Ovis aries: one gene and its partners. The protein of the gene in region 3 interacts with the protein of the main gene of each other region in a pairwise test. Links are inferred from orthologs where the notes say so. Each region holds a gene or a part of one and is shown on either strand. Other genes may lie near its edges.

Region 1 (3,834 bases), on a different chromosome or scaffold from region 3:
ACTCTATGGACGGCAGCCCGCCAAGCTCCTCTGTCTGTGGGATTCTCCAGGCAGGAACACTGGAGTGGGTTGCCATGCCCTCCTCCAGGGGATCTTCCCAACCCAGGGATCAAACTTAAGTTGTCTACATTAGCAAGTAGGTTCCTCACCACGAGCGCCATGTGGGAAGCCCAAAAGGAGACTGACTGGTGAAGAGGAGATAGTGCTCTTCAGAGGACAAAACCTCACTGCCTGACAATGCTGCCAGGGACCTTGGGCAGGCACTTGCTTTAGTCAGAGAAGGGTCTTTCTTTGCCAGCAGGTAAGGACTTGCCCGGTGGGGTGAGCAACCCAGGTGCACTGGTGAGGGGGTTTGCAACCAGTGCCCCCAGCAGAAAAGCTGGGCTGAGCTGGGAGGAAAGAAGGGTAGGGGGAGGGGTTGTGGTTGTTTTGAAAGAGATACTTATCACTGAATTACCATATTTCAAATTTTGACATGGGAATGCCTTCAGATCACAATGACTGAAAACCATACAGAAGTCACTTGAGGCATTTTTCTTACTAACAGAGAACGATCTGGTCATAAGTACACTTTGTACCTTTCATAAACTGCAGGAGGGAGGGGACTTCTTAAAGCAAAATAAATTCATGACCCGTATAAAATTAGGTTTGCTTCCAAATAGTGTAGATTTACACTCTTGTATAACAATTCTGATCACCAGATTTGTAATATAGAGGATCTTGTCTGTGTACTGGATGTAAGACATGCTTACATAAAACCCAGTTCTGCCCAATGTCAGCATAAGAAAAAAATGTGATTGTCCCTTAAATTATATTAGCATGTAATCCCCCAGTGTTGGCCACCTGGGAGAGACATAAAAAATAAAGCACTAGGTTGCAGACTAATCACAGCCAGTTTTAGGGATAAGAACTCTGTGGAACACCACTTAAGAGCATTTAAAACAATCAAAACATTTTAAAGTTCAAAAAAGAAAAGAAAAAGAACTCAACCACAAAACTCTAGGAGCCAAGACACTTGAGATCAGCTCAATGCTGATTTACAAAAGCCACAGAAGCCAGGAGGTCTCTTCCAACTGATCTGGAGAATGCAAGTGAAAGAAGGCTCTTTGAGTGCAGGGTCCAGGGTCTGTGTCCCTAGATCTAGGGAGTGGGGCATCCTGTCTCCTGCCTCCCCTTAGGAAGACCTCGCTTTAGTAAGATCAGACAGAAGAAAAACGAGGCGGTCCTTTAATTAAGTTCTGAAAATAAAAACAAAACCCAAACCTTCTACAAATACACATATAAAAGTACTTTTTAAACACTCCCAAGTACCAATGAATCTTGCCCAAGAAAAATCACAGGGTTTGGGGATCCATCGGATGAGGAAAGTCCCAGTAATCTCACAACAATGTGAACCAACAGACTTTTAATGCTTTAGTCCAATGTGTTTAAGAACAATGAGTCTATGATATTTCAGAGTTGGCAAACAGTAAAAATCAAATCTACGAACTTGGTGAGGTTTTTCTCCCTATCCCTTTACACACCCACACACCATAAATAAGAACAACCAAATCAAAGTCCGTGAGGGCTGGTAAGGTGTTGTTTACAACGTGGATGTTGTAAATCACAGTCAAAATACAACCAAATGTTTTCTGGAGGTGTGGAGGATATATTGAATCTGCAAATCCAAACGTCCCAAACATGGCGTAAATGATGACTCTCCAGGAAAAGAGATTCTAAAATCCTTTTGTGAAGAAAGAGACACAGGCAAGCCAGCTGAGCAAGTTACAACAAGTCTTGTAACCAAGCTGTCCAGTAACTCAGGGTAAGAGTGAGGGCTTAGAAAGCTCCTCCAAAGCCAAGAAGAGAAGCTAAGTGTCCCACTCATGCCTGTCCTGCTGGCATCAGCCTAGTGCGCCATTGGTGACACCACCCAGGAGCCAGCTGACTTCCCATAGCTGGTGTGTCATCCTCTGCTGGGCCGTCAGAGCAGGGTCAGAAAGAGAGAATGCCCGTCTCCATCACAAGTTGATTGGCTTGTATCCTCTTTTCCTGAACATCAGCTGAACTGTGGAAGAAAACCAAGTGCACAAAAATGCAGGGATAAAGTGTGAAGCCCATGTAGACACAGGGCAGGTGAGAAGGCCCTGGCTGGGTGGCAAAGACCCCCAGAAGAGGGGCCACGGGGAGGACCAAGGGCTTGCCAGGGGACTGACTTCCCACACCCAAGAGGAGAGGGACTCCTTATCACTGAGCCAACATCCTCTGGCCTGGCCAGGGCTGCCCACAAGCCTGGGTCCTGTCCAGACTCTTTCCAGCATCATCCTGCTCAGACAGACCCTCATTGCCAAACGGACCAGCACAGCCATCTCCTCCAAGTGAGAACCCAGTTCTGTGATCAAAGCCTGGCTGTCTTGGCTGATTGAAGGGTAAAAGTAACTAGGATCCTTTGCTTTCAAAACTGTGTCTGATGGCAGTTCAGCTCTCCTCTAGGCTTCCCTCTCCATCTCAGGATGACTGCAGCTCGGCTCATCCGCGCCCACTGAGCCTGGCTCCATCCCAGGCTGTCACTAGTAGTATGGCCCAAGCTTCTCGTATCCCAAATAACTAGGCCACTCCGGAAACAGACCATAGGAACACCGAGGGCTTCCAAACTGGTCAAAGGCTATTTCAAAATCTGGTCCGTTTGATGGCTGGGCTGTACCCTGGGTAGACTGCAGCTCCGCTCGGATGATCCTATAGTTTTTGCCTTTGTTGCTGTCCCAGTATGTCTGTCCGTTGCACTCGTAGCACACGGCAAACTCCATCCTCTCGTAAGACTGAATTTTCTCAGGCAAGCTGATGTCAAAGGAGAACGTGTCCTTGTCTGAACCTGCGTACGTGTCCTTCACGTACCAACAGGAAAAGTCTGTGAAGCTCTTCCAGGTGTCAAAGGTCATCCGGACTTTCACTGTCTTCTCGAACGCGAGGTTCTGCACCTTCACGGTGCCTGCAATAGACCTGTCCTTTAGAACGCAGTTTTCCAGGCACACATGGTCGGTCTGAAGCCGATTTCTGAAGTCCAGGTAGTCTGCTGATGGCTGCGAGAAATCCAGCACAAAACTCTCACTCTCCGCTGTTGTCAGACTCACGATGCTGTCCAGGAGCTCGGTGATGTTCAGCGGAATATCTAATGGGTCATCGAACTCGGAGAACACTTTGACCATCGTCAGGGCCAGCCCCTGGTTGTCGGCGAAGGACACCCGCTTCTTCACCTTTTTTTCCTGGACCGTCGGAGCCATCGTCCCACTGGCTTCATTCTTGCTGCTCAGCTGAATACAAGGCCTCAGAGGTTTGCTTGGCTTTGGGGCGATCTGGAAGGCGAACCTCTCTCTGCGCAAGGAGGGGGCCATGCAGCTGTACCTGCACTCAATGTCCACAGCCATCACGGGGCTAGAGGAACACGCTAGAACCCTGGCCAAGGGGAAAGACAGAAACAGAAAGGTCAGACAGACATTCAGACTCATCCCTCCAACAGGGACTGGCAAGCTGCGTTTGCCTTCATCTCCGCCCACGAGGCCACAGCTCATTGTTAACTCAAGGGTGGACCATGGCTTCAGGATAGATTAAAAGTGTAAGTGGAGGGTGGGCAGGGGCAGAGGCCTAAGGTTAAAACCAAAGACGTATGGAACCATTGGTCTTAAAACCACTTCAAGGGATCCCCTGTCAGGACTTCTTGAGGCCTTCAGTATGCTGATGATTGTGGGGAATAATGAAAAGAGTATGCTGTTTGTGGAGTTTCCAAAACTTATTCCTAATGAGGGAAGCACCTCATTTTTGTGGAGCACAAAATTTTTGTGGAGCACCTTGCTGAAC
Region 2 (3,834 bases), on a different chromosome or scaffold from region 3:
CTGCCCCACGGCCGGCGGGCTCTTACATTGTTGTCCAGGCCCTCGATGGCCTCAATGCCGTTGTGGCTGAGATACAGCTCCCGCAGGTTCACCAGGCTCTGCAGGCCCTCGATCTTGGTCAGCCGGTTGCTCTGCAGGGAGAGTCAGAACGCATGAGACCGGGGGCTTCTGGGAAGATGGCAGTGGACACAGGGCTCCTGACAACAGGGCGCCGCCCACAGCAGCTGCAGGGGCCTGGCCCACAGGGAGGCAGACCAGGGCCCTGCGTCTGCTGTCCTGGGCCAAACTCGTGCACATGGCCAAAGGCTTTGATGCACGAAACTCACTTTTCAAAATCTACTTGAAACAGGTCTACCTCAAATAATTTAATTAACTCAAAAATGTCAAAATCAGAATATTTAAAATCACTTAGTTCTCATTTCCTTTGGCATCCATCGTACTCGAGTTAGAGCACAGCGCTCGCTTCTCACACAGATCTGCACGATATCTGCTTTCCGAGAGGCATGGGTGGTCTTGGGGTTCCTGTCCCCACGGCCTGCCACCAAAGCCCCCGGGCCCACCACCGTGCGCCTGCTCCTGATGAAAGAAGCCGGGCCGCAGCCACGCGGGCACTGCCCACCCCACGTGGGTGCTGCCCAACCATGCCCAGGTGGCACACTCCTGGGCACGGACGGGACAGGACGGCTGGGGGGGTCACTCCCACCAGGAGCCCAGCACGGCGTGAGCTGTGGAGAGACGAGCTGCCCTGGCTAAACACCGCCTGGATGTTCATTAGAGGACATGTGGCGTGTTACGGAAGGAAACCTCAGGCCCGCGTGGGTCACGTGTGCTGCAGATCTGTGCAGTGTGATGTCTCCACTCCTCACTGACAGTGAAGCCAAGCGCTGCCCAGCATGGAGGCAGTGGAGGAGCAAAGCCCTGCCCTGGGGGCCCACGGGGCAGGAGGCTGGGCGGTCCGCACCTGCATGCTGAGGACGGTCAGGTTGGTGAGTGCATCCAGATTCTGAAGCTTAGTGATCTTGTTCTTCCCCAGAAACAAGCTCTCCAGGCTGGTTAACGCGTCGACATTCTCAATCACCTGCGAAGATCAGGGCAAGGCAGCAGTCACGGGAGGGGAGGGCCCGACCCCTTGGGCGAGCAGACAGAGCTGCCTGCGTGTCGGGCAAGTGCTGCCCGCTCTGGGATCCCCCAGGCAACCTCACTTCAGAGCGCAACCTGAGAACAGACGCTGGTGGTGTCCTGCGGGTGGCAGCTGCGGGAGCCCCGGGCCTGGGACGCCTGCAGGCTCCTCCCCGCTCTGCCCCGTGCTCCCCAGGGCCCCATGGGCAGCTGCGCTAGTGAGCGCCCCTGGCAGGCCTCAGGTCCCCGCCTCCCGGGTACACCACTCTCCCACAACAGGCTAGCTGAGCTTTTCCGGCAGGGGCTGCAGCGGGGCCTCCAAGGGCAGAGTGAGCCTCTTCTTCAGTCCTCACAGCAGGATGGGCCGGGGCTGGGCCGGGGCTGGCCCGGGAGGACGAGGACTCAGAGGCAGGGCAGCCCCGCCTGCCGTCACCTGCGTCGGCTGTGACGCGGCCCCTCTCCCCCACAGGGATGCTGCGGAACACGCTGATGCCTGGACCACCCCGAGTTTCACACGTGCTGCTTTGCTACTTTCGACCACACCACCACCACCACCACCACCACCACCGGTCACAAGAAGCCCTTTGCCGCAAACACCCTCCTTGGTTTGCGTCCTGTCTAGCTCACAAGGGCCAACCTGAGCTGACCAGTGTGCTAGAAGCTTCCAAAAGTTGGAGGGGCATTTCTGGCATGCAGGTGGAGGAAGGGCTCAGAAACCCTGCCTACAGCCACTCAGCAGGGGCGGATGGGCCCACTAGGCACCAGGCTGTGCCCACCCTCCTATGGCCGGAGTGGGGGCCCATCCCCCTGCTGTGCATGGGCCCCTTCTGCGCCAAGAGGCGCGCCTAAAACCACACCCAGCGGCATGTCCAAAAGCCAAGCGCCGGGGCCGCTGTCGGGCAGAGTGCAACGCCTCTGCTAAGAGTTACATCGTGACTCGGATGAGGAGCAAGAGAACGCCGCGTGTGGAAGAAAGGGCCACGCTCCCACGAACACCGACCCCCAGTGAGCACTCGGTCTCGCGAGACACAGCTGCACGCCCTGCACACCTCCAGGCCGCGCCCCGCGCCCACACCCACCCGTATCCGGTTGGACCCCAGCTCCAGCATCTGCAGTTGGTGCAAGCTGCTTATGTTCTCAATTTTGCTGATCTTGTTGTTGACCAAGAAGAGCTTCTTCAGTCGTGTCAACTTATCAACGCCTTCAATGTTTCTCAGTAGATTAAAAGAAATATCTAAAACCCTGGGAACAAGCAAAGCATTCATTAACGAGCACAGGTCACGCCGAGCTCAGGACGTAGCTGACTTAGAGGCAGCAGCCCGCCCGGGGAATGTGGCGGGGCGGGCAGCCCATAGGGCCCCGAAAGCCTGCTGCCCCGGCTCCCAGCACGAGGCTGAGGACAGAAACCGTCTTCTCCCTAAGGAGCTCAGCCTGACATCTCCAGTCAAAGGCTTCACGTGCAGGCTGGGACTGTGGGCAAGCGGGTGCCCCCGCGGAGCCAGGCACAGGCCTGACCGTGGGCGGGGGCTCCCCGGCCCGAGTTCGGGCTGCAGGGCTGGTTTCGGGGCGGCTGCCAGGCCCCTTGCAGCCTCACAACTCACTCCAGCTCTGTCAGCGCGTCCAGGTTCTCAATCCTCCGGATCTGGTTGTCGTAAAGGTCCAGCTCTCGGAGGCTCTGCAGCCCCTCTAGGTTCTCAATGCACTTGATCAAATTCTGCCGGAGGCAGAGCGTCTGGGGGACAGAAAAAGGGCAGCTGACAGAGGGGACGGGGAGGCCCGTAGGAAGTGCCCACTGTCCCAGACTCGGCCTCCACACCTGGGGCCTGGGTGGGGAAGTGGTTTTGCTCCTGTTTTCTAGTACGGTGCTGACCTGGAGAGGACGGGCAGATACCCGCGGGGATGCAGGGAGGCCCTGATGAGCGTTCTTGCTGTGTGAGGGGGGTGCTGGGCAAGGGGAGGGGTGCTGTTTTCCAGCAGAGGGAACTCACTGAACTGCAGTGAGCTAAGCACATCGAGTCTGGGCTGCATGTGGCTGCAGGCAGGCCCCGACGGAGGCACCACCGATCTGAGCCACCACGCGAACCTGGGGAGAGCCAGCTAGCCGAGCGTCCGGCCTGTTACCCTGCAGGGCTCAGGATCAAAGGCGCCCGAGGGACGCTCCCGTTGCAGCGTGGCACCTTCCCGAGCACGGTCACCGCGCAGAACTGATCTGCTCCGGTTCACCCACATCCAGTGGGGGGATGCACTCTGCAGGGCCACGCGGGCCCCTGCCATGCAGGGACGAGTTCCTCTCACCTTCACTTTCTTCAGCACCTCGAATCCTTCAATTTTTCCAATGCGATAATGATTCAGATCTACATCCTGAAACAGACAAAACCTAGCTCAGCTGCAGATAGGCACCTGGAGACGCGCTTCCCGGGCTTGGAGCCATGAGGAGGCCGGGAGGCGGCGGGGCTCGGGGAGCAGTGCCGCCCGGAGTCATGGGGCCAGCTGACGCGGGCACAGCTGTGCCGTGACAGGCAGCGGCCTGACGTGAGACTGACCCTATGAACCAGTGGTGCGAGAAGCCTGCTCTCGCCTGCGCGCGCCCCTCGTCACCCCTGGGGGCTGCCCCACCCTCGCCTGCGGCTCCTCCTCGCACCAGGACGGATGTGCAGTGGTCACGGCTGCCTCTGCCACACAATTCTCGGTGTGTACAGCGCCACGCGAGACCAA
Region 3 (4,412 bases):
CAAAAGCACGATGATAAACCCACAACAATGTAGTAGCAGGGTCACTACAGCCGAGAGTGGTAGGAATCTCTGGCTTTGTAGTAAGCAAAACTTAATCAAGAAAATGTATTGGAGGAATATGCACTGTCCAAACAATAAATTAGTATACTGTTTTGCATTAAATAATATCAACAACAAAAAATTAAATGTAAATGGTGCTTTAGAAATTCACATGATTTGCCCACCTAAGTAAACACAAACCAACTCATAAAATGTATACTAAAAGTATTATAGCTGACTGGTAATCTGATGTAATAAAAAGAAAAAAATAATCGAGACTATGTTATGGAACTACAATCAACATTTTAAAATGAGATTAAATATTGCTGATCAAGTTCTGTACTTTCATTTAATACTAAAGACAAACCAAAAATTTAACTATAGCTATTCTGCTAAGCAACCTCACTTGAATTTGAGTTACTTTTAATTAAAATGTAATGTCACTGAAAATCAAGTGATTTTTATTTGGAGACTAAAAAAATTTATTTCAATACTAAAAGTAACTACTTTCTAGAAAATCCAAGTCTGTTTTGGATGTCTTTGGACAGGTCTAGATTTTGCAAAGGAGAAAGGGGCCTGGAGAATTAAATCACTTGTATAAATTGAGAATTCCCTGAATGAAGAGACAGTGTCTTGTCTTTGCATTCCTGGTGACTGGCACAAAGCAGGTCAGTAAATTCTTGCTAATTTAAAAGGGGAAAATGTCTGGAAAACGATCATCAAAAACCAGAACCGAACACTGATGTAATTCAAATTCAAAGAAACAATCACTTAGCCTATTTTCCCCACCGTATCTTTCTCCTAGTAGCCTTGAACAATCGGTGAGTGAAGTTTCTTAATTATGTATAATCATAAAATCATCTCACTTAAGACATCCCACATCAAACATTTAAAAATACATAAGTTTATCTTGTCTTATGCCTATAAAGTATATAAATAAGTATATGGAAAACAAAAATGAAGAAGTTGGATACAAGCATCATATTTTTAAATAAATTTACAAGCCAAGTTCATGATGAGCATAAACTTCTCCCAAAGTTAACAAGATATTAAAATTTTTAAACAGCTACATTTCCCTCTCAGAACAACAAATAATTAAACAACAAAAAAATTTTCCCCTCAAAGCAAATGTCTCACACCCAGCAAGATGTTCACATCTGTTAAAATCCACAAAGTCTTAAACAGTGAAAACTGACTGCAGGCACCAGGGGGCCTCCCAGGAATAACTTAATAGTAAAGGAAAAAGCAAATAAGAGTTCCTGGTAAAACTTTGCTTCTTATTCAGTCTTAAAAGACACTCAGTCTCACACTGCTGGAAGACTCACATCTGCAGCAAATTTACTGTAGTTTGCTACACAACCGGTATACACAGAAACTGATGAGATACCGACACTTCGGCCAAAAAAAGGAACCAGCGCCCTCCCTTCCGCCCCCCAACCATACAATCTTCTGTGATGCTTTTCCATCACAGTAAGCACATACTGTTTCACTGTGAAAAATAATTATCTTCAGGAAATTCGAAAGCAAGTAACAACGTCTATGTAATCCTGCCACAGTTTCTGACAGAGAGGACTCTAAATCTTTTTTTTTTTTTTTTATGGGTCAATTTCTTTTCTACTCACTCACAAAGCAGTTAGTGATGACGCAAATGTTGGGATAAAGGCATTCGCGGGCAGAAGACCGCGATGGACTTTGAATAATATCCTGGCCTCTCCATCTCTTCCTTATCCCTCAATCCCCAACCCTAACATAAAACTATCCAATAAAAACAGAAGGGCCCAGAAACTTCAAAAGCTGCGAAGACTTGCAAAGACCCTTTAAACACAACAGAGGCTTTACAATCGACCTCTCCTAAGTTTGTGCAGAAATCAAATCCTGCTCAAACCTGTTAAGATTCTCAAATTCGAAAACTAATCCCTACAGCAAACGTGTGTCTACATATTTCTGGCGTGCTTCTTCGTCTCGGTCAGACCTGTTTTACTATTTTTTAAAGCTAAATTAGACATGGGAGGTACTCACGCTAGTGTTATCTTCTCCCTAAATAGTTCGTCCTGTAGGATCATGTAAAATTTGCTGAACAGATCAAACAGTTTTCCCAGGTGGATTTTAAAAAAAAATTTTTTTCACTCCCAGAACAAGAATCGGGAGGCAGCCAAGGGCAAGGCACAAAGAGCACAGAGGAGAAACACACAATTCGCGGGCATACAATGCATCGGAGCACGCATCCCGGCCCACTCCTTCTGGGAAGGGTCACCCCACGCCCCGGCCGCGCGCCGCCGTGCGGGTCCCCGAAGGTCCGCGGGGCACTGCCCGCCCGCGGGGACGGCCCCTCTCGGCCGGCCTCTCTCCCGGAGGCCGCTCCCCCGGCCCACCAGCTTCTTCGCCCCCATCCTCGGCGGCCGTCTCGGGGCGGGAAAAGCGGGGAAGCGGACGGCGGAGGGGGTGGGGTGGTGTTCCCTCGGGCTCCAGCGCCCGAGGGACCAGGAGGGGTAAGGGAGAGCGTCCCCTCCCCGCGGCCCGCCGGGCCCCGACTCACCCTCCAGCAGTCGGGTAATAAGGCTGTCCACGTTCAGCTCCCCGTCCGCCATCTTGTCGGCACCAGACGCTCCTTCCCGGCAGCGGGAACAAGGGCTTCTCGGCGGCGGAGTCTGCGGCGACCGCTCGGCGTGCCCTCACCTACAAGTCACGCGGCGTTTCGACCCCAACTCCAACTCCCCCTTCCCCCAGGCCCTCCCCCCCACCCCGTCCCCACCTAGCTGCGGAGCTCGCACACACTCGGAGGCACCCACGATAAATAAATAAATAAACAAGCGGAGCCCCCCACGAACCGGGCCGCGTCAGACCCAGCCGCCGCCGCCGCCACCTCCTCCTCCTCCTCCTCCTCGGCACCGCCCAACTCCGCAAAGCTCACCAGCGCCGCCGACGGCCCCACCCGCAGCGCCACTCACTCCACACCGCCCTGCCCCGCCACCGCGCCACGCAGCCCCCCGCGCAGGCGCACGGCGTACTCGCCTCGCGGCCCCGCCTCACCCACCCCCTGCCCTCGCGCAATCGCACTGGACTCGGTTCGCCCGCCGCCACCGCCGCCGCGCCGCACCGCCCGCTTCGCGCAGGTGCGTCGCCCTTCCTCGCCAGTTCCACTGCGCTGAATCTCAGCGGCTGCGCAGGCGCCCCGGAGGCTCCCAGGGTTTGCTGGGCTGGGGAAGCTCCCATTACGCAGAGCGCGCGTAGGCAGTGTTGACCTTCCCGCCTCCTAGCTGGCCGGGCCCCGGCGCTACGCAGACGCGGTTGTGGCTGTTCCCGCCTCGCTTTTCTTTTCTTGGTTTCAGTCCCTGATTTGGCAAGCAATTCCTCGTTTTCAGTAAGCGGGAAACGTGGACTGCTGTTACCCATGTTTGAAGCTGGATTTGTCCGTTTGGAAAACGAGAAGGGGTTTTTCTACTGGAAAAGTTTGACTTTGCAAATAAAGGGTTTTATAATCCAGCGGTTCCACAAGGTTGGTTGCCAAGTGTACGTGGATGAAATAAATTGAAAAGGGCCTTGGGAGGGTCAGCAATAAAAATATTTCACATGAGTTCCGCTGTCTGCTTTCTTTAGATCTCTTTCAAATACGTCTTAAATTCTGTGGCTGCTGTTTTTCACAGTGCATTTAGCAACAAGAAAAATACTTTCATTATATGGCTTAATCATTCTACCGTGTGATTTTGCATTTATCTCCTACACTCGACTGTGAGCTACACGGTAAACCCAGTTTATCTTTGTGTTTTCAGCTCCTGCCACATCTGGTAATGTAGAAGAGAGGGACAAAGAAACACTGAGGCTCAGAAAGCTTGGTTGCTCCTCTCTTCTTTCCATCACATAATTCTGCCTCTAGAAAAGCAGGGGGAAGAGCAGCCACGCAAAAGATCTAGATAAGCCAGAGTTTTTGGCCTGTTCTCAGAAGTGGGTCAGAGGCAAAGTCTTTAATCATTCCTCAGGTGTTTGTCCAGAAACTTAAGATACTGTTTCAAGCTCAAGGCAGTGCTCCCCCCACTCTCATATCACCAATAATAACTAACATTTTTGAGATCCCTGTATGTGCTCAGGCACGGTTTTAAATGTTATACAACATGTGTTGTTTAATCCTTACACTAGCCCTATGAGGTAGGTACTATTATTATCTTTACTTTGTAGATGGGATTTATTGAAACTCAGAATGGTTAAGTACCTAGCCCCAATTCAGTGGCAGATCTGGGATTCAAACCCAGGCATCTAGCACCAGTGTCTGCACTGTCAACAGTTGTGATATACTCCTCCTCAGTGTGTGATCTGAGATGCTTAAAATATGCGTGTGCTGTATCATAAACGCTGATAACAGAAATCATAGATTTTTT
Region 4 (4,443 bases), about 99 Mb from region 3:
AGCTCCAGATTTCATGCTCTTGGTTACATGTTATATCATGCCTAACTTTAGCAGATAGGTGGATGATCAGTACTGTAAGGACTGCTTTTTTATGATCTGCTTTTTTTCATTTTGCAGTATTGTACCTTGGTTTCTCTGAGTCTCTTATATCACCTAGGGGAGAGAACTGGAATTCTTGGCATTTTTCCAAGTCACTTAACCTCTCAGTTCTAAAACTGAGCTGGCTTGGTACCCGGTAGATCTGGCTCATAGTTCTTGGTGGCAATGTAAGTGCACCATGCTTTGGAACCAGCCTAACCAGAGTTTAAATCCTGCCATCCATCCATTTGATAAATAAAAAGTTCCTAAATGCCAAATACCGTGTTTTGTACTTGGTGCTGAGGATACAGTAAACAAAACAACTTCTTACTCTCATAGAATTCACTCAATTGATAAAAGACTGAAGGATAAATATACGTCAAATAGTAAATGCTTAAGAAATATAGGGCAAGGGGATAGATACTTAGGGGAAGCCCCATTTTAGAAATATGGTTAAGGAAGTGTCTCTGATGAGGGGACGTTTGAGCAAGTATTAAGCGAAGAAGTATAGATCTAGCTGGTGAAAGAGTGTTCCATGATTGTCCTGTTGCAAAGAATCTAATGGGCCAGGGCAGTTAAAACAGAAAGGGAGGGGAAATGTAAGAGACAAGCTGACATACAGGATGGTGGTTGTTCAGGCCAGAGGATTCACCTATATCTTACAGGGCCTTATAGGTCAAAGGAGAGACCTGTTCTTCCATTCTGAGCGAGACAAGACCAAGACTGGGTGTCCTTGGCAAGCGACGTACAACATTCTGATTTCTGAGTCTTAGTTCTCGGTTTTAAAAATGAGCTGCAAAATTGTGAAGATCAGAAATCACGTCAGAAAATCTGGAAAGAAAACAATCCATCAATACACACTGAAGATTACTCTGCATTGCTTCTATTTTCTTTATACTCTGGGCAAGCTGCAGCACGTCGCGCTGCTTAAGACTTAGATCCCCTGAGCGAGGATAAGGGGGATTACGTTCCTTAGACCTGGAAGTGTGGGTCTGATGAAAGGAAAAGGGGAGTTTTAGAAGAGAATCTGTTTAGTCATCGAAGATCTGGAGCTGAGGGTCTCCCCTCATCCTCTTCAAAAGGCTGCAGCGACGTCAAACTCGCTTTCCCAGGCTGCAGCGGAATCACAGCCTTCTGAGACTGCCGGCGAGTTTCGGCTCTGCGCAGGTAGCCGCCTCCAACTCCCGGCATGCCGCTGGGCGTAGGGCTATCACGTAGACTCCATTTCCCAGCCTGCCCCGGGGCTCGGTCCGGACGTGCCGGCGCCTATAAGAGCCAGAGCGCTGCGGCCGGAGCCTATTGTTAGCCGGAGCCGGGGCGGTTCTGGGCGGCTGCTGCCGGGGGGCGCCCGAGTTGTCGGAGCCGCCCGCCCTCTGCCGCCTGCCGGCCGACCTGCCCACCCATCGTCCCTCCCCGCCCTGCCGCCCTGGGAACTCCCAGACCGTCTGTGCGGCCCCGGGACTCGCTTTCTCCTCCCTCCTTCCACTTGGGCTAGGGCGGCGGCAGCGGGGGCGGCAGATACCATCACCGGAGGAGGCAGCTGCGGCGGAGCCGGTAATGGGCCTAGGGGTGGGGGGCGGAGGGTGCCTCCTCGTCCTTTCTCGGGATCGGCCCCCGGGCGACTGTGGAGGAGTGGTCAACCCAGAGCCGCGCGGATGGAGGGGTCAGAAATGAGGGAGGCACGGACGGCAGCGGTCGGGGGGCGGGGAGCTAGAGCGCCGCCGGGAAGGGAAAGAGTCGGGAGAGGCGTGGGAGCCGGGGGCACGGAGGACGCGGGCCCCGACTGCGGGGGCAGCTTAAGGGAGACCGACGAGCGGCTTAGAAGCCGGCAGGAATTCGGATTGCGGGTTGAGTTCGGAATGGAGTGGAGATGATGTAGGATGGAGGGAAGTGAAGGAAGGGGAGGGGGGAAATAGAAGAAAATGTGGGAGGAGTGGTTGGGAATTTGTGGGTAGCAGGCAGGAAAGGATGGGGAGCTGGGTAGGGGCTGCAGACGCTTGGAGTGAGCAGGAAGATTAGCAGGAGTCAGAGTGAAAAGGTACCCCAGCGCTGAAGGGTTCAGCGGGGGTGTCCATGAAGGGGAACTGGTGACTGGACATGTCCTTTCAACCCAGGTTCCTGAGGTCTCCCATTTTTTTGTGTGGCGTTGTGTGGGAAAACGAAAGCATCAGTTGCCCTAGTTGCTAGTTGGCTCTTTTTTCACAGGCCCAAACACGCAGCCGACTGCCATCCATTCCTTTTAGTGCCGCGGTCTTGATTCATCCTTTTAAAGGGAGCTAGAGTGGCAATGTGACACACACACGGTTCTTAAGTATGAAACGTTAGAAGTTATCCCCGAGAGACACAGTGTCCCCATGTCTTGCAGTTTTCAGTTCAAGGTAAATCCATCGTTAATTCAGATTCTCCTTTTCTTTTACCGACTTTCCAATTTGCAAGTGTCCAGAGCCAGGAGGGTGTCGATGTGAGCCAGGGTTATAAACGACTGGAGATCCTTGAGAGTTCATGGGTCCTGCAGCACCACCTTCCAGGTCTCCCACAAAGATCTCGTGCCCTTCACAGGATGGGAGTTTAGACGTGGAAAGCCAGATCCTCACCTTGTGTCAGTGAAGGGATGAAACCAGAGGGAAGGTTGGAGGGGAAAAGCTTCCTTGAAATTCCTAGTTTTAACAAAATGTTTTCACTTGAGCACCTTGTTAGTTCATGATCCTGGTTATCACAAGGACACATGGAGCCACAAAATTCATAGTATTTGAGGAGCAGCTCACAATATTTTGTAAAAGGAGAAACAGGACTGGCCATCTTATTTAGGTTGATCCTAACACTTAGCAGCAAGCTTTCCTTCCTCTAATCCAGCTATACATGGTAGTGCTGACATCTTACTAGAGATTTTCGGCCCTTGACCTTTAGCAGAAGGTTGGGTTCCAGTCGAGTAGAAGTGGGATGTGAGAGGTACCTTGTCTTATTTTGGACTCATTTAGGACAGAGATTTCATTACCTAAACTCTGTCAATACATTCTGCATCCACAGAATTAGGGGAGGGGCAATTCCTTTCTTGCTAGTCTCACATATGCTGGGTTTTGGGGTTTGAGGGCGGTTATAGGATTCCTCACAGGCCTGAAAAGGCTTAAGCTTAGTACTAAAATACATATATGCTATAAATCTGTTTTATTTGGTGCTAGCCTAATCTCTTCTATATACTGTGGATCTGAATCATTTTGTATACCTTTGGGAAATGTTCAACTAGCAGAAATACTTAAGAAAAGGCAGTAAGGCATGCAGCTAGAAAGTGTCAGCTGACCTTTCATTTTAATGGCACAAAAGCTGCTATAGAGGTTTGCGTTATTTTCTCCAAAAGCATTTATTCTTTGAGTTGGTCATTTTGACAGTTAACTGTCAGTTATGACCTGCATTTTCAGTCTCATCTTGATTATTTCGGTATGGGTTAAATGCTTGGAGTATAAGTTATAAGTGTTTTTCTTGAACATAGGCATTGATCCTCTGCCAAAGAATAAACAGTTGAAAAAAAAAAAAAAGAATAAATAGTTGAGAGAAGTGGGGATGACTGATTTCTAACTGTGGTTGGAAAGGAAGTTAAATTGATAAATTGAAAAGTGGAACCCATTGTTGTTATTGCTATTTCAGAAAAGGATTTCTTCAGGCCACAGTGGAAGTGGATGGGAGGTTTCTTGGTGCCCAGTGGACATCTTTATCTCACAAGTCAAGTTCACTCCAGAGAGCTGGACAAGGAAAGCTGGGTTGGAATCTTAAGTTATACTGGTTCTTAGGACAGAATTTTTGGATTTTTTTTTTTCTTTTTGATAAGAATGAGTTAATGGCAGAAAAAGTGATGCTAACATCCTGGATAGGGTGAAAAGAGCTCAGTCAGTGTGCACATTACTTATATATATTACTTTATATTACATATATTACATTACATTACTTACCCATTCAGATGATTCTCAGACATTTTAAGGAAAATATTTTTCTCCCAGGTTTTGCATCTTCTTTTCTTCTTTCTTACTAGCTTCCTCCTATCATTGCCCAGAAACCTCTTTTCCAGAAATGGGAGTGAGGAAGACGTAGAAAAAAAAAGAATAGAGAAAGCAGCCAGTAATCCTGGCCGCCCAGAGTGCACAAAAAGTGACCTGAAGGGAAAAGATACCCTGGGGGCAGCTGGGTTAAGACAGTGGAGGATTATGTTAAAGCACCATCTTGGACCAGACTCAATCACATGCAGGGCTTAAGGAGGAACATTCAGAAGGAACCCACACTCCTGGAAGCAAAGGGACACCAGAACAGAGGACAAGAGTGCACATTTGCTTACCTGGTGGTCTGGTGGCTAAGACTCTGCCTTCCAATGCAGGG
Region 5 (2,923 bases), on a different chromosome or scaffold from region 3:
GGTTCAGCCTCCAATGCCCGCAGTGGGACCGGGTGTGTAGAAGGTGAAACGGGCAGGAAGGAGCAGTTGCCGCGGGGATGCTCACGTGGGTATTAGTTGGGCGCCTGACATGGACACCCGGCAGCGACCCCAGGGGCTCCTCAGTCACAGCGCCTGCTGTGTCCAGCACCTCAGTCTCATCAGGAAAGGGCAGGAAGGCGACTGGACTCAGCGGCCTGCGGGACGGGGTCCTGGCAGAGCCTGGATGCCAGAGGAGCGGCCGCCTGCTTCTTTCCTCGCAGGCGCGTTTCCTGTCCATGAGGGGCTGGCCGCAGGCCCTGCTATTGCCCCGCGTCGCCCTGGAGCTGAGCCCCCACACCCAGACGTGCGGGTTCAGGCCCAGCGGGGGAGACGAGGCCCGGGGAGCGGATGATCTCTAATCCTCCCTTCTCAAAGGTCTGCTTACAGAAAAGAACACAAATGGTTTCATTTGACGTTTTACACTGGATCCTTAGGTTTAATTCTCAATTAACTTTACTAACTTTAGTCTTGTCAGACTGAAGAGCTGTGATAATCCATTGCCTTCTCACCAGGAGGCCTTTGGGTTTCTCTCTAATCGTAATACCGAATGTCAGCATGGAAGAGGCAGGAGGTTCCATCTGCTGACGCAGGAAACGTTGCCCTCTGGCCAGAGCTCAGAGCAGCTGACCATCCTGCCAGCACGTATCTGCACACTTCCTCTCTGTCTTATCACGTCGTGGGCTCACCTGAGGAATTACAGATGAGGAGGAGCAAGCAGGGGAACCGGGAGCATGGGTCAGACCTGAGCAATCAGTGTGGACTAATTGGGGAAGGCTGGTCTTGAATTCCTGTGAATTCATGAGGCATCCAAACTATGCGTGTGTAGCATAACACGTGTGTGTGTGTGTGTTTGAAGAGTGGCATCCTTTTGAGCATCTGTGAAGACACAGATAGTACGCATATACACACATGGGGCTTCCCTGGTGGCTCATCTGGTAAAGGATCCGCCTGCAATGCAGGAGACCTCAGTTCAACTTCTGGGTCGGGAAGATCTGCTGGAGAAGAGATAGGCTACCCACTCCAGTACTCTTGGGCTTCCCTGGTGGCTCAGACAGTAAAGAATCCACCCGCAAGGCAGGAATCTGAGTTCGATCGCTGGGTTGGGAAGATCCCCTGGAGGAGGGCATGGCAACCCACTCCGGGGTTCTTGCCTGGAGAATCCCATGAGCAGAGGAGCCTGCGGGCTACAGTCCATGGTGTCGCAAAGAGTCGGACATGACTGAGCGACTAAGTACAGCACATATACACGCGTGTGTGCGCATGCCTGCATCTCTTGCGTCATTCCGTTAAATGAAGCCTCATTTAGGAGTAGTCACAGCAAAGGACACTGTCACTAACTCGCTGACCCCTGACCAGGGTGCCCGCCTTCGGCACTGTCAGCCTTTGGCACTGGATCACTGTCTATAGTGAGGCTGTTCTGTGAGCAGTGGGAGGTTTGGCAGCATCCCTGCCTCCATGCACTGGAGAAGACTAGAGCCACCCCCACCCCCCAGCCCCGGTGTCTGAGACGTTTCCAGACATCGCTCCAGTGAGAACTCCCACTGCAGATCTTGTAGGATCATCCCCAGGCCCCAGGGTCCCCATCAGTCAACTTGGGAGAGCTCACCCTCCCAGGATGACTGTCAACGGTCCTACCCCTCAGAAGCCACATGACGCCCATGCTTGTCACTGGGTGGAGACGTGTTCTGAGGGGCGAGCGTTCCATTCGTACTGCATACGCGGCAAGTCGCTTCAGCGGGGCCCAACTCTTTGTGATGCTATAGACTGTAGCCCGCCAGGCTCCTCTTTCCATGGGGATTCTCCAGGCAAGAATATTGGAGCGGGTTGCCATGCCCTCCTCCAGGGAATCTTCCCCACCCAGGGATCAAACCCAGGTTTCTTATGCTTCCTGCATTGGCAGGCGGGTTCTTTACCTCTAGCACCACCCTGGGAAGCCCTCCATTTGTACTACACATTTGCTTATGGAACCTACCCCATCCCAGAGAAGGCAATGGCACCCGACTCCAGTACTCTTGCTTGGACAATCCCATGGATGGAGGAGCCTGGAAGGCTGTAGTCCATGGAGTCACTGAGGGTCGGACACGACTGAGCGATTTCACTTTCACTTTTCACTTTCATGCGTTGGAGAAGGAAATGGCAACCCACTCCAGTGTTCTTGCCTGGAGAATCCCAGGGACGGGGGAGCCTGGTGGGCTGCCGTCTATGGGGTTGCACAGAGTCGGACACGACTGAAGTGACTTAGCAGCAACCCCATCCCAGGTACCAAATACCAGATGACGAACCACAGTACTGCTCCAAGGAAACCCAGTGTGGACTTAGGGCTGCTCAGGTTCTTACTGGCTTTATCCACACGGCTGTGTTTAGCAGAGGGAAGCTCTGGAAATGATGTGGCTGAAACCCCTGCCCTTCTTTCCCACAGGAATCCTCACCGTAAACAGAGCGAACGAGCTTCTGAGCACCTGCGTGCCGGGCAGCTTTCTGATCCGGGTCAACGAGAAGGTCAAGGGCTACGCCCTGTCCTACCAGTCTGAGGACGGCTGCAAGCACTTCCTCATAGATGCCTCCTTGGACTCATACAGCTTCCTGGGCGTGGACCAGCTGCAGCACGCCAGCCTGGCCGAGCTGGTGGAGTACCACAAGGTGCGGCCCCGTGCACACGTCGCTCGCTCGGTGACGGGTGTCCTGCAGCTGCTCTGACAGTGAAAGGCGGTTCCACGGAAGACAGCTGAGACGAGCAGGGGAGATCAGCCCCCCGCTTCTGTAACTCCTCCCGATAATAGTGCTCATGCTCAATTGTGTCCGACTCTCTGTGACACCACGGACTGTAGCCTGCCGGGCTCCTCTGTCCATGGGGATTCTCCGG
Region 6 (4,467 bases), on a different chromosome or scaffold from region 3:
GTGTCAAACCCAAACAGTGCCCCTTCAGCTAGTTTTGGTTGTTCTGAGAAACTAGAAGATCTGCTTTTAGTTGGATGTTTTCTTTAAAAAATCAAGCCCAAGTGATAAATAACTGCCCCAGTGATAACTCACTTTTTCTTTAACCACACCATTTTAACACTTCTGCTGCTGCTGAACGGTGATTTTAAAGACATAGGGATTTTTGTACATTTTACATTGTATATTCTGTACATTTTTATGGACTGCTGGATAACTAAATTGAGAGCAGAGCAAGGACATGGACTTTATACAAACAATTCCTACTCGACTTAGAAATTTAATTTTATGGTTGTAACTGATGATGGTCTAAAAACTCCCCAAACTAAACAAAATTACAAAACCTCGATGAGAATAACCGGCCTGGGAGAGTCATGAAACTTACAGTGTGATAGTTTAACATTTTGGTTTTCACATCGCTGCCAGAGGACGTCAGAACCCAGATGAGGGATTTGGGTTGACCACTGGCTCTGCGGGCTGACCCACCACATGAGCAAAAGAGGCCTTTTCATTTCTGGCTTTAGTTTTCTCTTCCAGGGAGAAAAGCTGAAGACTAGATTGAAATACAAAGTACCTTTTAATGAAATGCTGCCTCATTGTCTTATAATAGGGCTAACACAGACTGCCGGTGGCTCAGATGGTAAAGAATCTGCCTGCAAAGCAGGAGACCCGGATCAATCTCTGGATCAGGAAGATCCCCTGGAGAAGGGCATGGCAACCCACTCCAGTATTCTTCCCTGGGAAATCCCAAGGACAGAGGAACCTGGCGGGCCACAGTCCATGGGATCTTAAAGAGTCGGACAGGGCTGAAGCATTTAATACGGACTAACACGGTTTATTAACAATATTGGTTAGAGAAGAATGTACTGTGTGGTGCATTTCCGGGTTCACCCTAACCCCAAAATATGCAGTCAACTTCTGATTGCTCAGGGCAAGGAAAGGGAGAAGATAAGCCAATGCACCAAGCAATGAACAAGATAAACATTTCAAAACTATAAATATAAGCACACACACACATCCCCTTCCCCCACCGCCACCCCTCCACGCGTCCCCGGAACGAGCCACAGTGTCCTGCCCTCAGATAACTGTATACAGAAGCCTCGCGAGTGAGACACCTCCCTCCCTGCAGCCCCGCTGTGTTGGCGCTCCGCGCGGGAGGAGGTTTGCTGCTTTCCCTCCTGGCCTGCGCCGGCTACTTGTGCTACGCGGTTGCCTCCACGCCTCCTCGCCCGGGGTTCGCGTTACTCTACCCCGGCCAGCTGGCCCGGGGTCCCAGAGCGCCCCCAGCGCCCGGCGAGCCCTGCACCACGGCAGTCACGTCCCGGCAAGGGCTCGCGCCCCAGCTGAGCGCTGGTTGGTCGCGCCGTCGAGCCCGCGGCCCAGCGATTGGCCGTGGCAGTCGGCTCACGTGGTCCCCCGCAGTTAAGCGGCCTCCCGGGGGCCGCACCCGCGATCTGCCGGAGCTGCGGCCACTCGGGGACTCCCGGGAGACGCGTGCGAACTCTCGCAAACCGCGGAGTGCCGCCGCTCCTCTGCCTGATGAGCTGCACCAGGTAGGTTCCCTGCAGATTCTCCGACCCGGAGCTCAGGGAGCGCGCAGCTGTCGGGAGGCTGGGATGCGTTTTCCTGCTGTCATCCCCGCCCCGGAGACCCCAGGGGAGGGCGGGTTGACAGGCTGCTGAAGAATCTGGCGCTGGGGAGGCCTTGGAGGTGTGAAGATTTGCTCTGAGCATCTTAGGCAGAGCTGATTTCGGTAAACGGCATCTTAAACCAGAAACGTGAGTCAGCTTTAGTTCTGATTCCCTCGTGGATTCTAACCGTATCTCTTGGTCCTGCACAGAGGTCTCAAGGACTCGTGGGAAGAGCACTCAGATTGCTGGCTGTGTAGTTTAGCTTTGGGAAAAACTTAACGATGGACGATGTTCACTTTCCTTGGTCCTCTTTCCTTCTTCTGACGGTTTGCCATAGCAAAGCCAGTCTCGGGAGTTTGAGCAAATGATTATTTTTAAACTCTTCGGCCAGACTTAACATTCCAGGGAAATCGCCGTATCCTGAAACTGTCTTTAGATAAGTGCAAAATGTGAAAATACAGGGCAAACCCCCAAACAAAAAAACCACCCACAAAACTACTTAAATAGCTTCTTTAGACATAACTTAGCAGAAGACGTCTCTAAAATTTCCGCCTGTTAACTATTATTAGACCAATAAATATAGCTTTCTCTCTCATTTGTTTGTTCTAAGTTTGTAGGTCTCCCAGAAAAATCCTAGGGCTAATAAAGTGAATTCTCAGAATATTCTTTTATTACCCATCTTATGATAATGACCATTTGGCTATGTGCTTAGAGCTGCTGGGAAGACAGTTACTAAAGCCGGAACGAGAAATGTCACATACAGTATACACACACTTCTTATCTGAAGGCTAGGGTAGGGGAAAAATGTCCATAAGTTTGGCAATGTATACTCAGGGCTAAAGGCCAGAAAAAATACCTTTCTTGATGGACACTTCATGGTTTAATATTTCTGGGCATAGTTATGTCTAAATTTTAAATAGCTTTATTATCTTTCTAGTTATAAATATCCATTGCCAGAACATTTGAAAATACCAAAAAAGTACAAAGGCAAAAATAGATCACCTATCACCCGGAGATAATTGTTAACTTTTTGTTGTGCTTCCTATTAGACTTTTCAACATTTATAAGTTCATATATGTGTTGTGTGTGTGTATATATATATATATATAAAACACATTTATTGAAACTATCCTATTTTCAGGTTTGGCTTTCCCAGTGACTCAGCGGTAAAGAATCTGCCTGCAATGCAGGAGACACGGGTTCAATCCCAGGGTTGTGAAGATTCCCTGGAGAAGGAAATGACAAACCACTCCAGTATTCTTGCCTGGAAAATCCCATGGACAGAGGAGCCTGGTGGGCTATAGTCCATGGGGTCACAAAAGAGTCTGACATGACTGAGTGACTAAATAATGACAATAATTTTCAGATCATCAGATTTTCCCACTTAAATGTGGAGTTGGCATGGATGTCTTTTTGGGTGAAATACAGATTATGTAAAGATTTTTAAATTCATAAATGGCTGCCTTGCACTTCAGTAGGTTATTTGTGTAAAATGGGGAAGAGCATGGTAATGAAAGTGCAGAGAGAATCCTCTAATTTACTCTTTCTAGTCTTTGGCTCTCAAAACCCTTTGCTGTTTTTATTCTTTCTTTTTAAATGGATTATGGTTCCAGAGAAGTATAATTAATTCAATAGCAAAATCATCAAAGCAGTTGAGGGAGTGCAGTTTGGAACTTTGATTCTAGAACCTGTCTGGTCATTGGCTTACCTGGGAAGCTTTAAGAACATATATACATTCTTGTCTCCATCCCCAGGGGTTCTGCATTAGAGGCTCTAAGTCCAAGGATTCTGCATTGAAAAAAAAGAAATCCAACCCACTAGGCCATGGTGGGGGCTTCCGTGGTGGCTCAAACAGTAAGGAACCTGCCTGAAAACAGACAGGTTTGAGAACTGGTGCTCCAGAACAGAGCAAATGGTTTTAGAGCTGTATTAGAGTTGATCCCATCCAAATCTTTTATTTCTCAGATGGAGAAACTGGGACACCAAGTGTTTTAACCCGTGGCCTATAGCCTGTCAAGGGCAGAGCCAAACGTAAGATGCAGCTTTTATCACCTAATCCTGCATTCCTTTACTTCATGTGAGAGCGCTGTGCTGGCTGTAATAGCCAACAAAAATAGTACAGACCTACTTGGGACCAGGGGAAGTGCATTCTAGGTGCAGATGATAACCCCTCTTCTTTCTGTATTCTAGAATGATCCAGGTCTTAGATCCACGGCCTCTGACAAGTTCAGTCATGCCCGTGGATGTCGCTGTGAGGCTCTGCTTGGCTCATTCCCCACCTCTGAAGAGCTTCCTGAGCCCTTATGATGACTTCCAACGAAGAAATTTTGTGAACAAATTAAAGCCCCTAAAGCCGTGTCTCAACATAAAACAGGAAGCCAGAGCTCAGGACGGCTGGAAGCCTTCACACAACCAAGCCAAGAAGCGGGTGGTGTTTGCGGACTCTAAGGGCCTCTCCCTCACCGCCATCCATGTCTTCTCAGACCTTCCCGAGGAGCCCATGTGGGATCTCCAGTTTGACCTCTTGGACCTGAATGATATCTCCTCAGGCTTAAAGCTCCACGAGGAGAAGAACCTGATTCTGGATTTCCCTCAGCCTTCAGCTGACTACTTAAGTTTTCGGAACCACTTCCAGAAGAACTCTGTCTGCCTGGAGAACTGCTCTTTGCAGGAGCGAACAGTGACGGGGACTGTGAAGGTGAAGAACATGAGCTTTGAGAAGAAGGTTCAGATCCGGATCACTTTTGACTCCTGGCAGAGCTACAACGACGTGGACTGTGCCTACATGAAAAATGTGTAC
Region 7 (4,303 bases), on a different chromosome or scaffold from region 3:
GAATACTTGGTGACACATGAGTATCACGTGAAATTCAAGTTTCAGGGTCTGTCAGCAAAGTTTTGTGGAAACAGAGCACATTTACTTGCATATTGTCTGTGGCTGCTCTTCCACGAAACGGCAGAATAGCTGCTCCAGGGATCACGTGGCCCTCAAAGCCTGAAACCCTGACTCTCTGGCCCTTCACAGAAAAGCTCTGCCAGCCCCGATCTGCCACCTCATCGTTGTGCCCCTTTCTGTCAGCTGTGCCTTCTGTCTGGAAAGTTCTTCACAAGATCTCAGCATACCTCCTTCCTTCCTGCAGCTCAGATCCCAGCTTAAACGTTGCCTCCTCAGGTCCCCTGCAGTCAACCCGTCACTCTGCTGCATCTTCACCCCGCTTCCATTGTTGCACTAGTCACTGTTTTCTTCCCCAAGCCCCAGGCCTGACCTGCAGAAGTACCCATGACCGCAGGAGCTGATGGGTTCCCTACACTGAGGGACGGCGCGGAAGCAGACGCAGGTGCCCAGCCCAGGACTGAGCCGCCGGGTGGATGAACTGCCACTCAGCTGTGAGTGCAGCTGTGCCAGGGCTGGGCTTGGCACTGGGATGCAGAGCCTGTGATGGTGACACATGCAGTGCCCACACGCCCTGAGCGCAGCCCGGAGCAAACGCAGGAGGCCTGTGGCCACAGCGAGGCTGGCCGCGTGCCCTGCCAGCGCAGAAGGGCCATCCAGACCTCCCGGATGGTGGGAAGGGTCTGCAGGAGCTTCACCTGAGTCCTGGAGGCTCCCAGGGCTCACCTTCCAAAACAGAAGGAGGTTCTGGGGGTGGGTGGGGGTGAGTCTTACAAAGCACCCCACACAAAACCTACCCAACAGCAGTGGTCAAAGAATGACCAAGGTCTCGGGCAGTCCCGGCAATCTGTGTCTGTCACAGCCGCCCAGGAAGCACGCAGCCCAGACTCGCTGTCTGCCGTCGGGCCTCACCACACAGCCAGCACGGGGCCCGGCAGCCGAGCGCCTCTTCCTCCCCAGCCCGCCGTCCCAGGCGTCTGTGGAATTAGACATGACTGTCCCTCTGTCCTTTTTTCTCAGTCTGATGTGCTGGCAGGGCTGTTCCTAAAGACACAGAGCTTGGAAGGGAGGCGGAGGCTCACTCTCTCCCCTCCCCGCCTCCTCCACCACTACTGCAAGGGTTCAGGAGGGTGGAGGCCCGACACACATGGCAAGGTGCTCAGGAGTGGGGCGGGGGCAGAGGAGGGGGACGAGTGTGCAAAGACAGGCATGTCATCCAGCAGTCTCTGAGGAAGGATGTTCAGGAGGGACAAGGATCAGATCTGCTTTTCGGACCCATAACTCTGCCTATGGTGAGAAGGGTGGAGTCAAAGCGCCGAGTCAGAGCGCAGAAGAGCGGCCAGGAGCAAAGGCTCCCATCCCAGAAGGAGGTGCAGGCTGCTGGTACGAGAGATGGACAGGACAACCAGGATCTGGGCAACTGAGGAGCAAGTCTGAGAGAAGACACTACCACCCAGACACTTGCTTTGGCTAACAAGTGGACCGGGACAGAGGCACTGGTGTGGGGAACTCTTGGGGTGCAGGTGCCGTGCTGGGCCACCACAGGCTCATCTGAGACTGAGGTTCCAAAGCTGAACACAGTGAAATTCAGAAATCCCTAGAACACAGACACCAACGTGGAGCCCACAGGTACCAGGGCCTCTTGCTGGGCGCCTGCCAGCCCAGGAACCTTCCAGGAGAGCAGAGTCCAAGCAGGTGAGGGATGAAGCCAGGGCAGGTCCGCGGAGAGCCCACAAGGAAGGAAAGATAGACCTGCTGATGCTGCTCCATCCCAGCGTTGAGCCAAGAGCCTCCGGCACAGTGGAGGCAGGCAGGGAGCTGGCTGCTCAGAGCGCCACAGGGCCCCCAGGCAAGGATCGCGGGGCCAGCGGTCCAGGATCCGTCAGGGAACCATCCGCCCATAAGGCGAATCTCGCTGCCCCTGAAGTAAGCCAGGAGGCCAGCCTGGGGCACAGAGGCCCTTCCTTCACAGCTCTCCCAGGGAGAGCCCACAAGCATCACCAGGGAGCATCCCCGGGAGCAGAGGGGCTGAGAAGAGCAGTGCGGCCCCCACTCCACCCCCAAGCTAAGGACGGGGTAGGGAAAGGAAGGCCCAGAGCTCTGAGGAGGGCCAGCCAGAGCTCGGCCCTGGCTCCCGCTCCCCCACACCTGAAACGCCTCCGCACCCACGGAAACTAATCCCACAGTCGCCTCAGCCTCCACTGCAGGACAGGGAGGGGCCCCACCGGCGTGGACCTTCCCGCCCAGGCCCCTTGCGCCTCCGAAGCCGCGCGGGCCGGCGCTCGCCGCACAGCTATGGCTATTCCAGCCCGGACACCCATCGGTGGGCTGGAGCCCAGGATCCCTACAAGGAGGTCACTAGAACCCCTGGAAGTTAAGGAATTTGGCACAGAAAGGTTCAGGTTTTTCCTCTGGCCTCGCTCCAAAGCACACACGAAGCCTGGCAAGTACCTTCTCTGCAGGCCCGAATGTCCTCAGCTGAAACGGAGGTAACTCCGGTGCTGCCTACCTGGCCAACAGGTTACACGGCTGAAAACAACCCCGCATTCGGCTCAGCCGCGAACAGCGCCCCGGCCCGGCCTTGACGGCCGCCACTCCAGGAGCCTTCCCGACCCTCAGCACCGGCGCCGAGCGGGGCCTGGGCGGCCTCCCGCCGGGATCCCAGCCTCCCGGTCTCCCCGCCCGCCCGCCCGCCGGCCCCGGAAGTCCGCTCCTCACCTTCCGCCTCGCGCCAGCAGCCACCTCGCAGCCGATCGGAGCCGGTCCGCGGGTCCTTCTGCCCAGCGCTCCTCCCGGCGCCGCGGGGGCGGGCCCGCGCCCGGCCCTTGCCATGGCAACGCGAAACTTCCGGCCCGCGCTCCCCAGGACCGGAAACCGCCGCCCGGGGGCGGGGCTTGCCCAGAGGGACTGGGGAGGTTGCGGACCGCCGCTTGGGCAGGGTGCAGTGATGGCCGGCAGGCAAGGGGAGGGCCTTCCGGGGCGAGAAGCGCAAGTAGTCACAAGTTTGCCAGGAGGGTGGTCGTCTGATTACTCTGATCTTTTAAGAAAGGGTCTGAGTTCACTCGACAAAGCAGGGGCATTAATGGGGGGAGAGCATGCGCCAAGGTGGGAACAGTTGAGGTGGTGGTTTAGGAGGGCGGGGCCCGCTCTGTGGGGTCTGTGCGGCCAGCGATGAGTAGTCAGGACGTGAGGAGCCCTGAACGCCAAACCAAGAGCTGGGCTTTATCCTGGAAGCAAGGAGGGGACAGTGGAGGAAAAGCAGTGCCTTAGACCTGTTGGAGAAAAAGACCTCTCAATAACTGAACTGGGCTAGAAGACACAAGAACCTCTCAGCTAGAGCCCTGGAAACGAACAGGACTTGAAGAGGTGACATGGGAGTCCAGAGGAAGCCAGAGGAAATATGAAGAATCTGATAATGGAGGTAGCAGTGTAGCACCCCACCAACATCATCTCAGCCCCAGGCTTCCTCCTCCAGATCACCCATCACCCATCCCTTCTCTCAGCACCTCAGTGAGAGCTGCACACCCACTGTATGCTCCAGATTTTCAGCCCTCTAAGGGTTTACACTAAATTAGCTGCCACCTAAGCTACTTGGCGGAGAAGGCAATGGCACCCCACTCCAGTACTCTTGCCTGGAAAATCCTATGAACAAAGGAGCCTGGTAGGCTGCAGTCCATGGGGTCGCTAAGAGTCGGACATGACTGAACAACTTTCCTTTCACTTTTCACTTTCATGCATTGGAGAAGGAAATGGCAACCCACTCCAGTGTTCTTGCCTGGAGAATCCCAGAGACCGGGGAGCCTGGTGGGCTGCCGTTTATGGGGTCGCACAGAGTTGGACACGACTGAAGTGACTTAGCAAGGGTATAATTGGGGGCGGACTGGGCAGGGGGAGTGCTGCTGCTGCCTGAGAAAAATCTTGAGTAAAGTGATATAAAGTGTGTCCCTGTGCTTCCACGGCTTCCCTCGGGTCTGGGGGTTCTAATAGCAACACCCTACCACTGCTGGTGTCCTGGGCCTGATAAATGCCTTGTGCAAACTTGCCCAGTCCTCCCCCCGGGGGGGGGGAACCCAGGCTTTGGGGTAGTATACAGAGCAGGGTACAGAGCACTTGAGAGGCAGAGCCACAGATCACGCCAGGGAGGAGTTGAGTGGACAGAAGGGTCTGGGACCAGGAGAACCATGGTTCAGGGTCGCTGCCAAACACACTTTTCCAGGGCCGCACCTTTGGGCCAGCCCCTGTGCCT

The links.
Region 1: the proteins of PPP1CB (region 3) and PPP1R3B interact in a two-hybrid assay, tested with the Homo sapiens proteins (2 studies listed by BioGRID and IntAct). The link is inferred for Ovis aries from reciprocal best matches to the Homo sapiens genes PPP1CB and PPP1R3B.
Region 2: the proteins of PPP1CB (region 3) and PPP1R7 interact in binary tests that used the Homo sapiens proteins (3 or more experiments, as listed by UniProt). The link is inferred for Ovis aries from reciprocal best matches to the Homo sapiens genes PPP1CB and PPP1R7.
Region 4: the proteins of PPP1CB (region 3) and CSRNP2 interact in binary tests that used the Homo sapiens proteins (3 or more experiments, as listed by UniProt). The two-hybrid records come from large-scale screens. The link is inferred for Ovis aries from reciprocal best matches to the Homo sapiens genes PPP1CB and CSRNP2.
Region 5: the proteins of PPP1CB (region 3) and SH2D4A interact in binary tests that used the Homo sapiens proteins (3 or more experiments, as listed by UniProt). The two-hybrid records come from large-scale screens. The link is inferred for Ovis aries from reciprocal best matches to the Homo sapiens genes PPP1CB and SH2D4A.
Region 6: the proteins of PPP1CB (region 3) and PPP1R3C interact in binary tests that used the Homo sapiens proteins (3 or more experiments, as listed by UniProt). The two-hybrid records come from large-scale screens. The link is inferred for Ovis aries from reciprocal best matches to the Homo sapiens genes PPP1CB and PPP1R3C.
Region 7: the proteins of PPP1CB (region 3) and PPP1R16A interact in binary tests that used the Homo sapiens proteins (3 or more experiments, as listed by UniProt). The two-hybrid records come from large-scale screens. The link is inferred for Ovis aries from reciprocal best matches to the Homo sapiens genes PPP1CB and PPP1R16A.

What each region holds. Positions count from the first base shown.
Region 1 is NC_056079.1:24,325,245-24,329,078, forward strand, and holds part of PPP1R3B (protein phosphatase 1 regulatory subunit 3B), read right to left. Parts: intron 3,433-3,834; coding exon 2,550-3,432; 3' UTR 1-2,549. UniProt on the Homo sapiens protein: Acts as a glycogen-targeting subunit for phosphatase PP1. Facilitates interaction of the PP1 with enzymes of the glycogen metabolism and regulates its activity.
Region 2 is NC_056054.1:607,367-611,200, forward strand, and holds part of PPP1R7 (protein phosphatase 1 regulatory subunit 7), read right to left. Parts: intron 3,481-3,834; coding exon 3,415-3,480; intron 2,852-3,414; coding exon 2,721-2,851; intron 2,362-2,720; coding exon 2,199-2,361; intron 1,079-2,198; coding exon 962-1,078; intron 132-961; coding exon 27-131; intron 1-26. UniProt on the Homo sapiens protein: Regulatory subunit of protein phosphatase 1.
Region 3 is NC_056056.1:35,686,614-35,691,025, reverse strand, and holds the start of PPP1CB (serine/threonine-protein phosphatase PP1-beta catalytic subunit), read right to left. Parts: upstream 3,041-4,412; 5' UTR 2,815-3,040; exon of another isoform or gene 2,792-2,814; intron 2,716-2,791; 5' UTR 2,628-2,715; coding exon 2,576-2,627; intron 1-2,575. UniProt on the Homo sapiens protein: Protein phosphatase that associates with over 200 regulatory proteins to form highly specific holoenzymes which dephosphorylate hundreds of biological targets.
Region 4 is NC_056056.1:135,103,528-135,107,970, forward strand, and holds the start of CSRNP2 (cysteine/serine-rich nuclear protein 2), read left to right. Parts: upstream 1-1,376; 5' UTR 1,377-1,632; exon of another isoform or gene 1,633-2,283; 5' UTR 2,284-2,432; coding exon of another isoform or gene 2,433-2,456; intron 2,457-3,720; 5' UTR 3,721-3,752; coding exon 3,753-3,833; intron 3,834-4,443. UniProt on the Homo sapiens protein: Binds to the consensus sequence 5'-AGAGTG-3' and has transcriptional activator activity. May play a role in apoptosis.
Region 5 is NC_056079.1:37,576,049-37,578,971, reverse strand, and holds part of SH2D4A (SH2 domain-containing protein 4A), read left to right. Parts: intron 1-2,479; coding exon 2,480-2,700; intron 2,701-2,923. UniProt on the Homo sapiens protein: Inhibits estrogen-induced cell proliferation by competing with PLCG for binding to ESR1, blocking the effect of estrogen on PLCG and repressing estrogen-induced proliferation. May play a role in T-cell development and function.
Region 6 is NC_056075.1:13,013,082-13,017,548, reverse strand, and holds the start of PPP1R3C (protein phosphatase 1 regulatory subunit 3C), read left to right. Parts: upstream 1-1,487; 5' UTR 1,488-1,575; coding exon 1,576-1,589; intron 1,590-3,857; coding exon 3,858-4,467.
Region 7 is NC_056062.1:13,427,445-13,431,747, forward strand, and holds the start of PPP1R16A (protein phosphatase 1 regulatory subunit 16A), read right to left. Parts: upstream 2,836-4,303; 5' UTR 2,567-2,835; exon of another isoform or gene 2,509-2,566; intron 1-2,508. UniProt on the Homo sapiens protein: Inhibits protein phosphatase 1 activity toward phosphorylase, myosin light chain and myosin substrates.